Linked DNA regions of Rhinolophus ferrumequinum. The protein of the gene in region 2 purifies or fractionates together with the protein of the main gene of each other region. This does not show direct contact. Links are inferred from orthologs where the notes say so. Each region holds a gene or a part of one and is shown on either strand. Other genes may lie near its edges. The genes, in order: ATXN2L, NUFIP2 and LSM12.

Evidence for each region.
Region 1: the proteins of NUFIP2 (region 2) and ATXN2L purify together in Homo sapiens (affinity purification with mass spectrometry; 4 studies listed by BioGRID and IntAct, counting the BioPlex papers as one, with this or other methods). This does not show direct contact. The link is inferred for Rhinolophus ferrumequinum from reciprocal best matches to the Homo sapiens genes NUFIP2 and ATXN2L.
Region 3: the proteins of NUFIP2 (region 2) and LSM12 purify together in Homo sapiens (affinity purification with mass spectrometry; 3 studies listed by BioGRID and IntAct, counting the BioPlex papers as one, with this or other methods). This does not show direct contact. The link is inferred for Rhinolophus ferrumequinum from reciprocal best matches to the Homo sapiens genes NUFIP2 and LSM12.

The regions. Positions count from the first base shown.
Region 1 is NW_022680357.1:1,220,146-1,223,889, forward strand, and holds the start of ATXN2L (ataxin-2-like protein), read left to right. Parts: upstream 1-1,363; coding exon 1,364-1,665; intron 1,666-2,013; exon of another isoform or gene 2,014-2,169; intron 2,170-2,269; exon of another isoform or gene 2,270-2,409; intron 2,410-2,523; exon of another isoform or gene 2,524-2,653; intron 2,654-2,672; exon of another isoform or gene 2,673-2,769; intron 2,770-2,866; exon of another isoform or gene 2,867-3,033; intron 3,034-3,180; coding exon 3,181-3,217; intron 3,218-3,419; coding exon 3,420-3,476; intron 3,477-3,562; coding exon 3,563-3,634; intron 3,635-3,744. UniProt on the Homo sapiens protein: Involved in the regulation of stress granule and P-body formation.
Region 2 is NC_046304.1:18,309,536-18,313,279, forward strand, and holds the start of NUFIP2 (FMR1-interacting protein NUFIP2), read left to right. Parts: upstream 1-807; 5' UTR 808-930; coding exon 931-1,207; intron 1,208-3,744. UniProt on the Homo sapiens protein: Binds RNA.
Region 3 is NC_046304.1:39,192,945-39,196,688, reverse strand, and holds the start of LSM12 (protein LSM12), read left to right. Parts: upstream 1-1,015; 5' UTR 1,016-1,151; coding exon 1,152-1,275; intron 1,276-3,067; coding exon 3,068-3,201; intron 3,202-3,744. UniProt on the Homo sapiens protein: Nicotinic acid adenine dinucleotide phosphate (NAADP) binding protein. Confers NAADP sensitivity to the two pore channel complex (TPCs) by acting as TPC accessory protein necessary for NAADP-evoked Ca(2+) release.

The DNA.
Region 1 (3,744 bases), on a different chromosome or scaffold from region 2:
CCGGTTTCATTTTTTAAAACCTCCCTCTTTAATTTTATTCTCCAGCCATGCTCAAGTTTTCTTGTCACATCCCATTCCCCCTTGCCTAGAAATCCATCACCCAATCCGGGGTCACTCCTATCTGCTTTCTTAGTGCCCTGTGCTTCACCTAATACCGGGTTTCCCCAAAAATAAGACCTACCGGGACAGTCAGCTCTAATGCGTCTTTTGGAGCAAAAGTTAATAAAATACCGGATCTTATATGTTTTGCTCCAAAAGACGCATTGAGCAGAGTGTCTGGCTAGGTCTTATTTTCGGGGGAACACGGTATTATAGATCTCACCTAATTGTCTGAATCTACCACCAGCTTGAACTCCCTGAGGGCGGCAAAGGGTTTAATTACAGTTGTATCAAGAGCATCTAGCCATTTTAAATGAATGAAGGCTGCCTTCACTGCAGTTGGGTGGAGCATTTTGTACTTTGGCCTTCCTTTCATTACTCCGGTTTAAGGGTTCATTCTAGGGCATGGAGAAACCATGTAGGTTTGAAAACCACTGAAGTTTAAAATACACCGCCGGGCTCAACCTGGCAACTGTAATGCCCGCCAGTCTTTTCTTTAAAGCAGATAAGGTCGGGAGTAGCTCCTCCTGAAACCTGCCAGCAGCCTGTCTAGTCCCGGGATTTTTTTTTTTTGCACTTTGACTCCGCCCAAGGGCCCCCAAGTGGCGGAAGAACTGCACGTTACGTCGTGCGCATCTCCCACGGCTGCGGAGGCATCCCAGCGCTGCGCCGGCGGAGGGGGCGGGGCGGCCGGCTCTTCCTCGGCTGCCTCGGCTCCTCCCCTAGCGTTTCACACGCTCATTGTGAAGCGACAGCGGCTGGCAGCGTTGGGGGCTGTTAGACACCCAGAGACCTTAAATTCTCGGCGCGCGTGGGCGCCGCGCTGCTCCTTCCCCATTCCAAAGGCTAGGGGCGCGAGGTTCACTTTCTTTCTTCTCTCCTTCCCCGCCGGCGCTAACCGCCCCGGTGCGCGCGGACCCCGCGCCGCCGCTCCCTCCCCGCCCCTCCCCCTTCGGGAGCTCCCGCCCGCGCGCTCCTCCCTCTCCCCCCCTTCCCCCGGCGACGCGCACGCGCGCCAGGCCGGCTCGCGCCCTCTCGCTTTCCTCTGGCCCGCGAGACCCCCTCCCCTTCCGCCTCGCGGCGCTTTCTCGCGCCACGGTCTTCTCTATCCAACCCCGACCCCGCGGGGCTCCCCGCCCGCCCGCCCGCCAACGGCGGGTCCCTTGCTTCCCAATTCCCCTCGCTTCCTGCGCTCTCCGGTGGGGGCCTAGCCCCGGCCTCTCTCCCTTCCTTCCCCCTAATTCCCCTTCCGGACGCTGCCATCATGTTGAAGCCTCAGCCGCCACAACAGACCTCCCAGCCCCAGCAGCCGCCCCCCACGCAACAGGCCGTGGCCCGCCGGCCTCCTGGGGGCACCAGCCCTCCCAACGGCGGCCTCCCGGCGCCCCTGGCCTCCACCTCGGCTCCCCCAGGGCCTCCCGCGGCCACTTCCCCCTGCCTGGGGCCTGCAGCCGCTGCCGGGAGCGGGCTCCGCCGGGGACCCGAGGGCATCTTGGCGCCCCAGCCGCCGCCACCGCAGCAGCAACATCAGGAGAGGCCAGGGGCAGCGGCCATCGGCAGCGCCAGGTGAGAAGGGGTGGCGCGGGGTGGTTTTCCGGGCGCTGGAGCCCAGGCTACAGGCAGCGGCGGCTCGGTTCCGGCCCGGCGGCCTCCTAGCCTGGCCACCTTTGAGGGGCGCCAGGGGGCGTGGGCCACCCCCCCTGAGCTGGGAATGGGCCCCCGCAGGTCCTAACAGGTCGGAGGAAAAGGGTCCCCCGGCAGCTGCCGGGACACTCGGGGGCCATGCTCAGCTCTCAGAGCCTGGTCGGGTCTCGCGGCCCGGGCTTTAGGGGAAGGCAGGGCGCCTCCCGGCAGCGCCGTCGGAGCCCGGAGTTGGGGGGTGAAGAGGTGATCTGGGGTCCCCGGCTCCATTACCAAGGAGGGTCTCGCGGTCCCCGGCTTCAGCCAATGGGGAGTCAGCTGCGGGAAGGGGTCCCCGGCCGTAGCCAATGGAGGGGGGCGCGCGGCCCACAGTTTGGCCAATGGGGAGGGAGGGACTTGGGAGCGTGTGGCCGCCTCCTCCTCCCCGGTCTGGCCAGTAGGAGGGGAGCGGGGTGGGCGGGGGGACGGAAGGAGAGACCACTGGGAGGTCTGCGGGCCGGGAGCCTCCGGCGCGCGCGCGCGCTCTTTACGTACGTGCGCGTGGATGCTCTGTCTTATGACCCAGGCATTCGGGAGTCCAGGGTAACATGCAGGGCAGTGGCCGGGAGGGTGCGCGAAGGGGCTTCGGGATGGAGGGGTGGACACGCCACTCGGTTTCTTCGGAGTATGGGTTAATGGAATGGAGCGTGGCGGAACACGCAGGCGCAGTGGGTTCGGATCGCGGGAGGGGGTTTTGAAGAGGCCCGTGGGCTTTAGTGCGCAGGCGCAGACCGGGCGAGGCCTCCGGTGGATGGCTCTTGCGGCTGCGCTGTCCCCCAGCCCCGCCAACGGCCCCCTCATCACCCTCCTCCGCCGCCGGTTACATCAGCCAGCGAGGAGCGGGCTTAGCAGGCGATCGAGGACCCCTCCCACAGTGGGTACCGCGCCGAAGGAGGCCGGAGGTCGAGAGGGTGGGCTGTGGAGGGAGTCCCCTCCTCCCAGGATCGGAGCGTCAGGCTGCTGACAATGATTGTCTTTTCGGTTTGGGAGGTAACGTGCCTGAGCCAGGGACTTCCGCGTCTGCACTCCCTGAGCTTCCATTTTTATGTCGGAGGTGGGTTTTTGGTTGTCGAATGCTGGAGCGTTGGTGTGTTGGAAGCGTGCAGCCCAGGCCCCTTGGAGAAAGCGAGGCAGTGGTGTAGGATGTACTGTTAAAAGCAATTGACAACAGGGGTCGATTGCGATGTGTTTTCCCGGCGTTTGGAGGCAATGTGTTTACTGGCTATACTGCCCAGGCCTTTCTTCCTCTATAAGGTGAGAGTTTGAAAGTTACGTTGACTCACTGTAGCCTAGATCCGCATCTTCACGTGGTCTGTGGTTCTGGGATACCAAGTCCTTTGAAATCAGTCGTGTCAGGCATTGAACAGATTTAAATTAGTTTCTTGTTTCCTTCTCTCACAGGGGACAAAGCACAGGAAAGGGACCCCCACAGTCACCGGTGAGTGCCTCTGCCCACCCCAAGACTTAAAAGACACCTAGGTGGGAATATAGGACCGATTAGTTGTAGATATGGTCAGGTGGGCTCAGAAGAGCAGGGGTCTCAGCACATAGTACTTCGGTGGGGGGGTGGAGTGTGGATATTTAGAAGGAAGGTGAGGTGTTGTCTGGCTCTTTATTTGTTCCTCCTGTGTTACTGACAGGTGTTTGAGGGTGTCTACAACAATTCCAGAATGCTGCACTTCCTTACAGCTGTGGTGGTAAGTGGGAGCCTAACCCCTGGGTGGTTGGAGGAGAGTGATTCCTCTGTTTGCTGGAGACGTTTTTATTTTTCCCACTGTCCCAGGGCTCCACCTGTGATGTAAAGGTGAAGAATGGCACCACCTATGAAGGTATTTTCAAGACTCTGAGCTCAAAGGTCAGTGTACTCAAATTAGCTTAGTTTTCGAGTGCGTGCAAGGAGGAGGAGAATGAAAAAAGTTCATTGAAGGTGTGCATTGAGTGGTGGTGGACCGCAGTGTGGCTGTC
Region 2 (3,744 bases):
AAATTCCGGTATTTTACATAAATGCAGAAAAAAAAAAAACTTAACTTTTAAAGTGCTCTTTTCCTCTTGAAACTCTTCATATTCTAAAATCTATCTTGGTTTCACAGTTGACCTTACCTGCAGTTAAAAAAAACAACTAATTCTGTGTAAATTTTAGATTTTCATTCCTCCCGCTCTCCATTGCCTCCAACTACAAAGAAACAATGATTTAAACCCTTTGTGCCCTTTTAGAAAATTACACAGATACCCCATTGTGGAACCCTATAATCCCTCCCTGGAAAGGAAGAGATTAGCATATGAATACAAAGCAAAATGAATCCAGAATACAAAATGATCTGCAGATTTGTGAAGTTCCTGTATTCTTAAAAATGTATTTATTTACTTCCTCTTTTTTGTATTGCCCCTTTAGTGGTCTCAGGGTTAAGGAATTGCGCTTCCCCTCCGGTTACCCGGAAAAGGATTTTTAAAAAAAAGCCAACAGAGTCTACGAGGTGCAAAACCAACAGATGGCTCCCAAAGCCAGTAGAATCGCCCGTAGAATCTGCCGACATTCGACATGAGCTTGTTTGTGGGCGAGGAGTGTAGAAAGTGCTGTTCGCAGACTGCATGGTGAAGGAGAGAAAGCGACAGAAGAGAGAGCCATAGTGCTGACGTTGAAGGCCCAGCCCTGTGAGGTTGCACAGGGTAAGTGGCGTTGGCCAGGAGGCTGTGGCGAAGGGGGAGGACAGAGGATTTGGGCTAAGGGCGGGGCCTGCGGCGCAGCGTGCCTCTCGATTGCTGGAGCACGCCTGCCAATCTCGCAGAATCGCTCGGTTAACCAGTGCGCAGGCGAGACGCGCTCAGATATACTGAGTGAGCCCGAAGAAGCAGTCTCAGATCCTGACGGTGCAGCAGCCCGCAGCCTCAGCCAGGGAGTCCCAGCCGCTTTCAATGGAGGAGAAGCCCGGCCAGCTACAGCCTCAGCACCATCACAACCACCACCATCCACACCATCACCCCCAGCAGCAGCAGCAGCAGTCGCATCACCACCACCATTATTATTTCTACAACCACAGCCACAACCACCATCACCACCACCATCACCAGCAGCCTCACCAATACCTACAGCATGGAGCCGATGGCAGCCCCAAGGCCCAGTCAAAGCCGCTGAAACATGAGCAGAAACACGCCCTCCAGCAGCACCAGGAAACGCCGAAGAAGAAAACAGGTCTGGGAGGGAGGACGAGTGGGGGAAGGGGAGTCAGGGTGGGGGGTAGGGGCGATGGGGGTGGGGCTGGATCCGGAAAGCGCGGACCGGGTCGGGGTGCTGCGAGTGTCAGTGTGTAGTGCGAGTCTGGGGAAGCCCCCTTTCATTCTCCCAAATCTCGGGCTGGGCCGCGGGGTTTGCAGCGCCCTCCTTCCTCTCAGCATGGGAGAGGCCCAACCAGGCCAGTGTGACCTTCCCGGCCCCCGCCGGGGCTGGAGGAAGACCCTGAGGGTCGGCCTTGGAAGTCTAACGTTGTTATTCTTTTCCCGTTTACCTTCTTGCGGCCCTGGGGGGACCTTAATTTGGGGGCCCTTAGTTGGGGTGAACCTAGCCCCCCAAATCCTTCAGGGTGTAACTCAGAAAGGCCTAGCGAATCCCGACTCTGGTGGTGTCGCGAGACCCTTTTGCAGGCGGCGAGGAGAGGATAGGTGGGCAGAGTTGAGAAGTGTCCTCACCGCCACCTCAAGCCCACCTGTGGCCTTGGGGTTCCCGTCTGGGGGGGCGGTTGGGACCCCTAGTCTCTCGGGTCATTTCCATCCCTAGACGCCCCTTTTGGGCACCGGACCCCGTGGCTCCTCCCGAGGCCGGCTCTCCGGGCCCGCTCCCCCCAGAGCCGGCGCGGCTGGAATGTTCTCTCCTCCTCGCGGGGCCGCTTCCTGTCCGCCATGTTGGAAGCCGATTCCTGTCACCGACTCCGGCGCACTGAGCAGCGGAGGGGGAAGGGTGTCGAGGGGCACCCGGCGCGGCGGAGCCGAGAGCTCAGGATCCCCACCGGCAGTCGCCTTGCCCCCCTGCACTGCGGGGGCGCTGCTGGCTCGTGGCCCCCCTCCCCCAGTCGCCGGCTGGGTTGTGTAACCCGGTGGCTGCCGCGCGGCCCCGGGCGGGTCCCTGGGGTGAGGGGCGGGGGCGGTTGAGGTGGGGGAGGGAAGCGGCCACGAGGGGAGCGGCCTGCGCTGGGCCCCGCGCGCCGGCCGTCGCGTTTCCCGCTCCCGGGTGAGGCGGGAGGCGCGGGCGGCCGGGGCGCGGGTCTCCAGGCAGAGCGGAGGGAGAAGGAGGCCGCGGATCGCGGGCAGGGTCCTCGGCGCCCCTCGGGGGCAGGAGGGCTGGGGGTGGGGGGGGCACATTTTGGGTAGAGGCGGTGCCTGAAGGCCGGGTGGGGTACCCAGCGGGAACCCGGCTCCCGGGTCACGAGTTTCTCTGCCACAGGAACCTCATCTTCTGCCAGGTTCGCTCACGACTCCGGCTCTCAGGCTTTCACTTGGGCCCTTTCCTTCTAGCAGTTCGTTTTTACAAGAAAAGCTTGTTCTATCTCCCTCTACTTCCCCCACCCCCAACATTTACCTTCAGGGCATGGGTAGTATTTTTGAGGCGAGCGATTCGAAAAATGATTGGATGGGGTACGTACGGGGCGAGTTTTTTTGACCCCTATTTCTTGTCCTTAAGGGTGAACCGAGATGGCTCATCCGTGAGGTTGGTTCACTACCATCTTGCCTCGGATAAGGGAGGTTTGTTTCCATTTTGAAAGGAACGGTGTTTTCCCCTTTTCAAACCTTTACTGATCCCAAAACTCTTGTTTTTTTAACAATCGTTAAATTGAGGGTAAAAGTCGTTTTAGAAAATATTTGAGAAGAAATGAACTTAAAAGTTTATAAGCATGGGAATTTTTAAAAATAGGGGTTCTTTATACATTGAAGAGAAATGAAGGGAATGGTAAGAAAATGAATCTTAAACCTAGCCTATCAAATGTGATACAAGCTGTTACTGAGAGCGGGAGAAACACTGCTTTTCTGTTGCAGACTTAATGTGATTTGAAGACTGAAATTGAAATGTCAGGCCTTCCGTTTTTGAAGGTGGTAGGGGTAGGGACTGATGGTGTGCAGTAGAAATGAATATATAGATGTGTTGAGTGCTTAATCCTAAGGATTTGGAACAGTTTAAAAACTACAACACTAGATCTTTTTAACGTTTCATCTTTTTCAATTTAAAGGTGAGAAAATGTTCCCTTATGGTTGCTTGGAATATAAGGCAGTATTACTGCTCAGATTGGAAAATTTTATTTTGTTGGTCACGTATTAATACATACCGTCAGGACTCCTCTCTACATATAGAAGCAGATCGTGAACCGTTCAAGGTGGCATCCTTCAAACTGGGCTTAGCAATTTTGAGAAACATAAACAATTTGGGATGAGCAGGTTTTCATGTGCGGCCTAGTCACATTACTGTTGCTTCAGCATGCATAATGCTAATTTACTAAGAAAACCGGTTTTTTGAAATATATCCAGTATGTTCAGGTGGGCTTTTTTGACCCATTACCCACAAACCTATAAAGAGGAAGATTTTCTTTATCCAGAAGAGGGCGCAAGAGAGGGTTAAATGTGCTCAATAATTTCAGTTTCTAATCCAAAAGCAAGATTTATCAGGACTCAAGTTTTGTTGGGTCCATTTGAAGTAGGGTTAGATGCTTTAGCATGGCGGCCCTAAATAATAAAAGCACTAGG
Region 3 (3,744 bases), about 21 Mb from region 2:
GGCCGGCCCCAAGGAAACTTTTGAACGTTGTTGTTCAGGTTAAGTAGTACGTACCAGGGCTGTCCCATTGCTTCCCTCTCGACTAGAGAAAGGTCAACCTGTTGTTACTCAGACATGAGGCTTCAGAATTTCTATATTGGGGGAGGGGAGGTAGGTAGGTTAGGGATGTCTATTGGTGATGATAGAGCTTGAAAATTCATCTGCATAGTACTTACATGTACTATAGGTGGTCCCTCAAACTCCTGCCCCAAGGCACCCTTTGTCACTACCACTGCTCCTCACTCCCACTCTTGGCTTTCTAGAGGGCAAGACAGGAGATGCTGAAGAATCTTGAGTTCTAAGGGTGATGGGTGATCATGGAGGAAGTACCATTTATCTACTGCATACCGTGCATTTATACACTTTATCTCATTTAATTTCCTAACTACTTTATAAGGCATTATCTAATATAGGTAGTGTAACAGTAAATAGCACCGTTTTTGGAAACAGGTAGACCAAATCCTTGCCAGTTGTACGACCCTGGCCAAGTTTAGTTTCTTCATCTGTAAAACGAGGGTATTGATTCTTACCTCAAAGTGCTGTTGGACGCTCAATAAGTGTTCATACAGAAGACATAAAGAAATTTGATCAGGTTTAGTAATTTGCTCAAGGTCATGTACCATGGTAAGTGGCAGACCTGGGATTCCGATTCCAGTTTAGCTAATTCTATAGCCAATGTTCTTTCCACTACCACTTTGTAACTTGGTACCTATAATCATTTTGGTTAAGTTTCGTGTTAAGTCTTCTGGGCCTCGGGTTCCTCATGTGGACAATATAGAGTTAATTCATTCAACTCTTTTGTCAAGGTGCGCACATAATGGAGATTGCAGCTCCCTCCTCCTCCCCCTTTTCATTCCACGTAGTCATTTATCTTTAACTTCTAAAACGTACTCTGCAAGAACTTGACAAGGAAAGCGCAGCTGTTTGAACATAATTATTCAGATTCCCCTTTATTTCCTCTTCTACCTAAGGCTCCCGCCCCACCCAGAGCCAGGCCACGCCCTGGCGTGTGACGTCAGCACGCCCCGTGCGTCGCGTCGCGGCGCTCACTGGGGGCCCGGCTTTCGCCCGCTGCTGCCGCCGCCGCCGCCGGCCGCGGCTGCTCTCCCAAGATGGCGGCTCCTCCGGGCGAGTACTTCAGCGTTGGGAGCCAGGTGTCGTGCCGGACGTGCCAGGAGCAGCGGCTGCAGGGCGAGGTGGTAGCCTTCGACTACCAGTCCAAAATGCTGGCTTTAAGTATCCTTCCTTGCGCGGAGCCCGAGGCCGGGCTGGCGTGTGTGTGCAGTGGTGGGGGGGTGGGGGACGACGGCGGCGGCTGGGGCCCTCCGGGCCTAGGGGCGACCGGCTACCCCGGCGCCTGGAGCGCATGCGCACGGCCCTGAGCTTCCCCTCCCCCTCTCGTGGGTCCTTCGGTCTGCTTTGGGGACCCTGTCTTCCATCCCTTGTTGGAGCTGGGACCCGAGCGAGGGTCGGTGGGTGGCTTGACACGCGGATGGCTTTTCGGGGTTAACGCTGTGAGAGGGGGCACAGTGATCAGGGGAGGAGGTGGTCGTGGGAGGGGGGTGGGGGATTGGAGCCCGGATGGAAGAGGGGCGGATAAAATGTGGGGAGGGGGTGTGTAGAGTAAGGAACTGCTAGTAGGGCAAGGGTATGGAGTTTAGAAGGGGGTGTCTGCTGATTGGATTTGGTCCAAGGAAGGGCAGTGGGCTCATGACCAGATGGGCCTCGCCTGTTTGGGGGGAGAGGAACTGCAGGGTAGGGTTTAGATTTGAACTGGGGATGGGGGCTTCTGCTTGTTCGCGTGTATGCCTGGTGCCAGTGGGGGCGGCGAGTGCTGAATTCCAGGTTTCCTAGTCATTAGAAAATTGCTGTTTGGGGGATGTTTGCATTGGGAACCTGGTCCAGAGAGAGGACCACGTTTTTCAGGACTTAGGTAGGGATGTGTGGGTTACAGGTGAAAGAGTAAGTTATCTTCTCTTGCTCAGCCCAGCACATGGAGTCCTGACTTTTCCATAGACATAGCCTCCCCTTTTGAAAGTCAGTATTAAACAGAATGGAAAAGGTGGCCTGCTTCTTTGGGGTGGAAGTGATTTCTGAATTACATCAGGAAACTCAGTCTTGGAAACAAAATACTTCCTGGTTGTAATAAATGTGCCACCCCTTCCCCTTTTATTTGAGCCACAGGTGGGTTTATTTGGATTTTTTTTTTTTTTTTGAGTAACCCTTTATGGCATCTTTTAAAAGGAAATGTCCTACTGAGTCTGCTACAATTGAGCGGCAAGTATTTTAATTTATTTAACCAATAGTTGTAGATTTCTAGCTTAGGAAGATGTCTTCTGAAATAATTACAGCAAGAACAATTGCTTTTTTTCTTTTTTAATACAAGAATTCATACCTGGACCAAATAAGACCTTTAATATTAGCAGTTTAGTTGGAAGGGTTTGGGAATGAGGAATTAACTCTGCTTTTAATTGGCATACAGTATACTCTTAATAAACGGTGGGAGAATGAATGAATGAATAAATGGGTTAACTAGCCGTGTCACCTTGAGTGGGCTTCTTTTTCAGTGTTGTAGTTTTCTTCTCTGCAAAATGGGAAATCTCAGATCTGAAAAAGTGAAAAGAGCACTGTATGGATAAAGGGAGTATTACTGCAAGAGCAGAAAGCACTGCCTCTCCTGAGTGGTCCATTAGGTTCCAGACAAACAGTATACATAAGGCATTAAAACTGCATTATGTCGCTCTGTAAAACTGGTAGAGAGAAGGTGACAGAAATCCTTTGAGGCTTCCAATTTTGGATCATTATATGGCTTGGAAAAGCTTGAGATCTTTTGGTTATGGGGTTGAGCGGGAGGACAGTGACAGGCAGAGATTTCCTGAAGACAGCTGTGATTCTTTTGAGGCTCCCCACTCTTGTTCCTGGCATACCTTTTACACAAGCTTTGTGTGAATTGTGTTTTCCATGCCCGGTTTGGGATGTGTCAGTTCTCTGCTTGCCCCTATTTTCCTTAACTTGATTTTCTTACCAGAATGTCCCTCTTCCAGTGGAAAGCCCAACCATGCAGACATCTTGCTCATAAACTTACAATATGTTTCAGAAGTGGAAATAATTAATGACCGAACAGAAACCCCTCCTCCCCTAGCTTCACTCAATGTTAGTAAGGTAAGGATTTGAGGGCAGTTCTGGCTCTCCAAAATGGGGGGAAAATTGAGTCTCATTGACTCTTGGTGATACATACATTGTCCATTGTTTGTTTTCCATTTTTTCATTGAATTACAATTGCTTGTTCTGATATCTTTTTAAAAACATACCAGTTTAGTTTTATTCCTGGGTATTTTCAGAAGATTTTAAGAAACATCTTAATGCCCAAATAGAGAAATAGAGTTGAGAGCTTGCTTTTGTCCTTGGTGAAAGAGGGTTTGTTTTTTTTAAAACCTGGAGTCCATGCGTGAACTTCTAGTTGGTGGGATTGGGTAGGGGTGTTGCCTGTAAACCTCCTGAAATTGTGTATGTGTGCATATATGAATATATGTTTCTCCTGGGTGAAGATGCAGAGTGTTTTTCAGATTCTCAGGGATTCCAGACATACACAAATTTGAAAACTACTGCCTTAGAGCTCCGTTTTGGTCTTTATGTTTGAATTTTTAGGTCTAGCAAAAATAGGGATTTAGGATATTTTAATCTTGGATGTACAAATTGATCTCT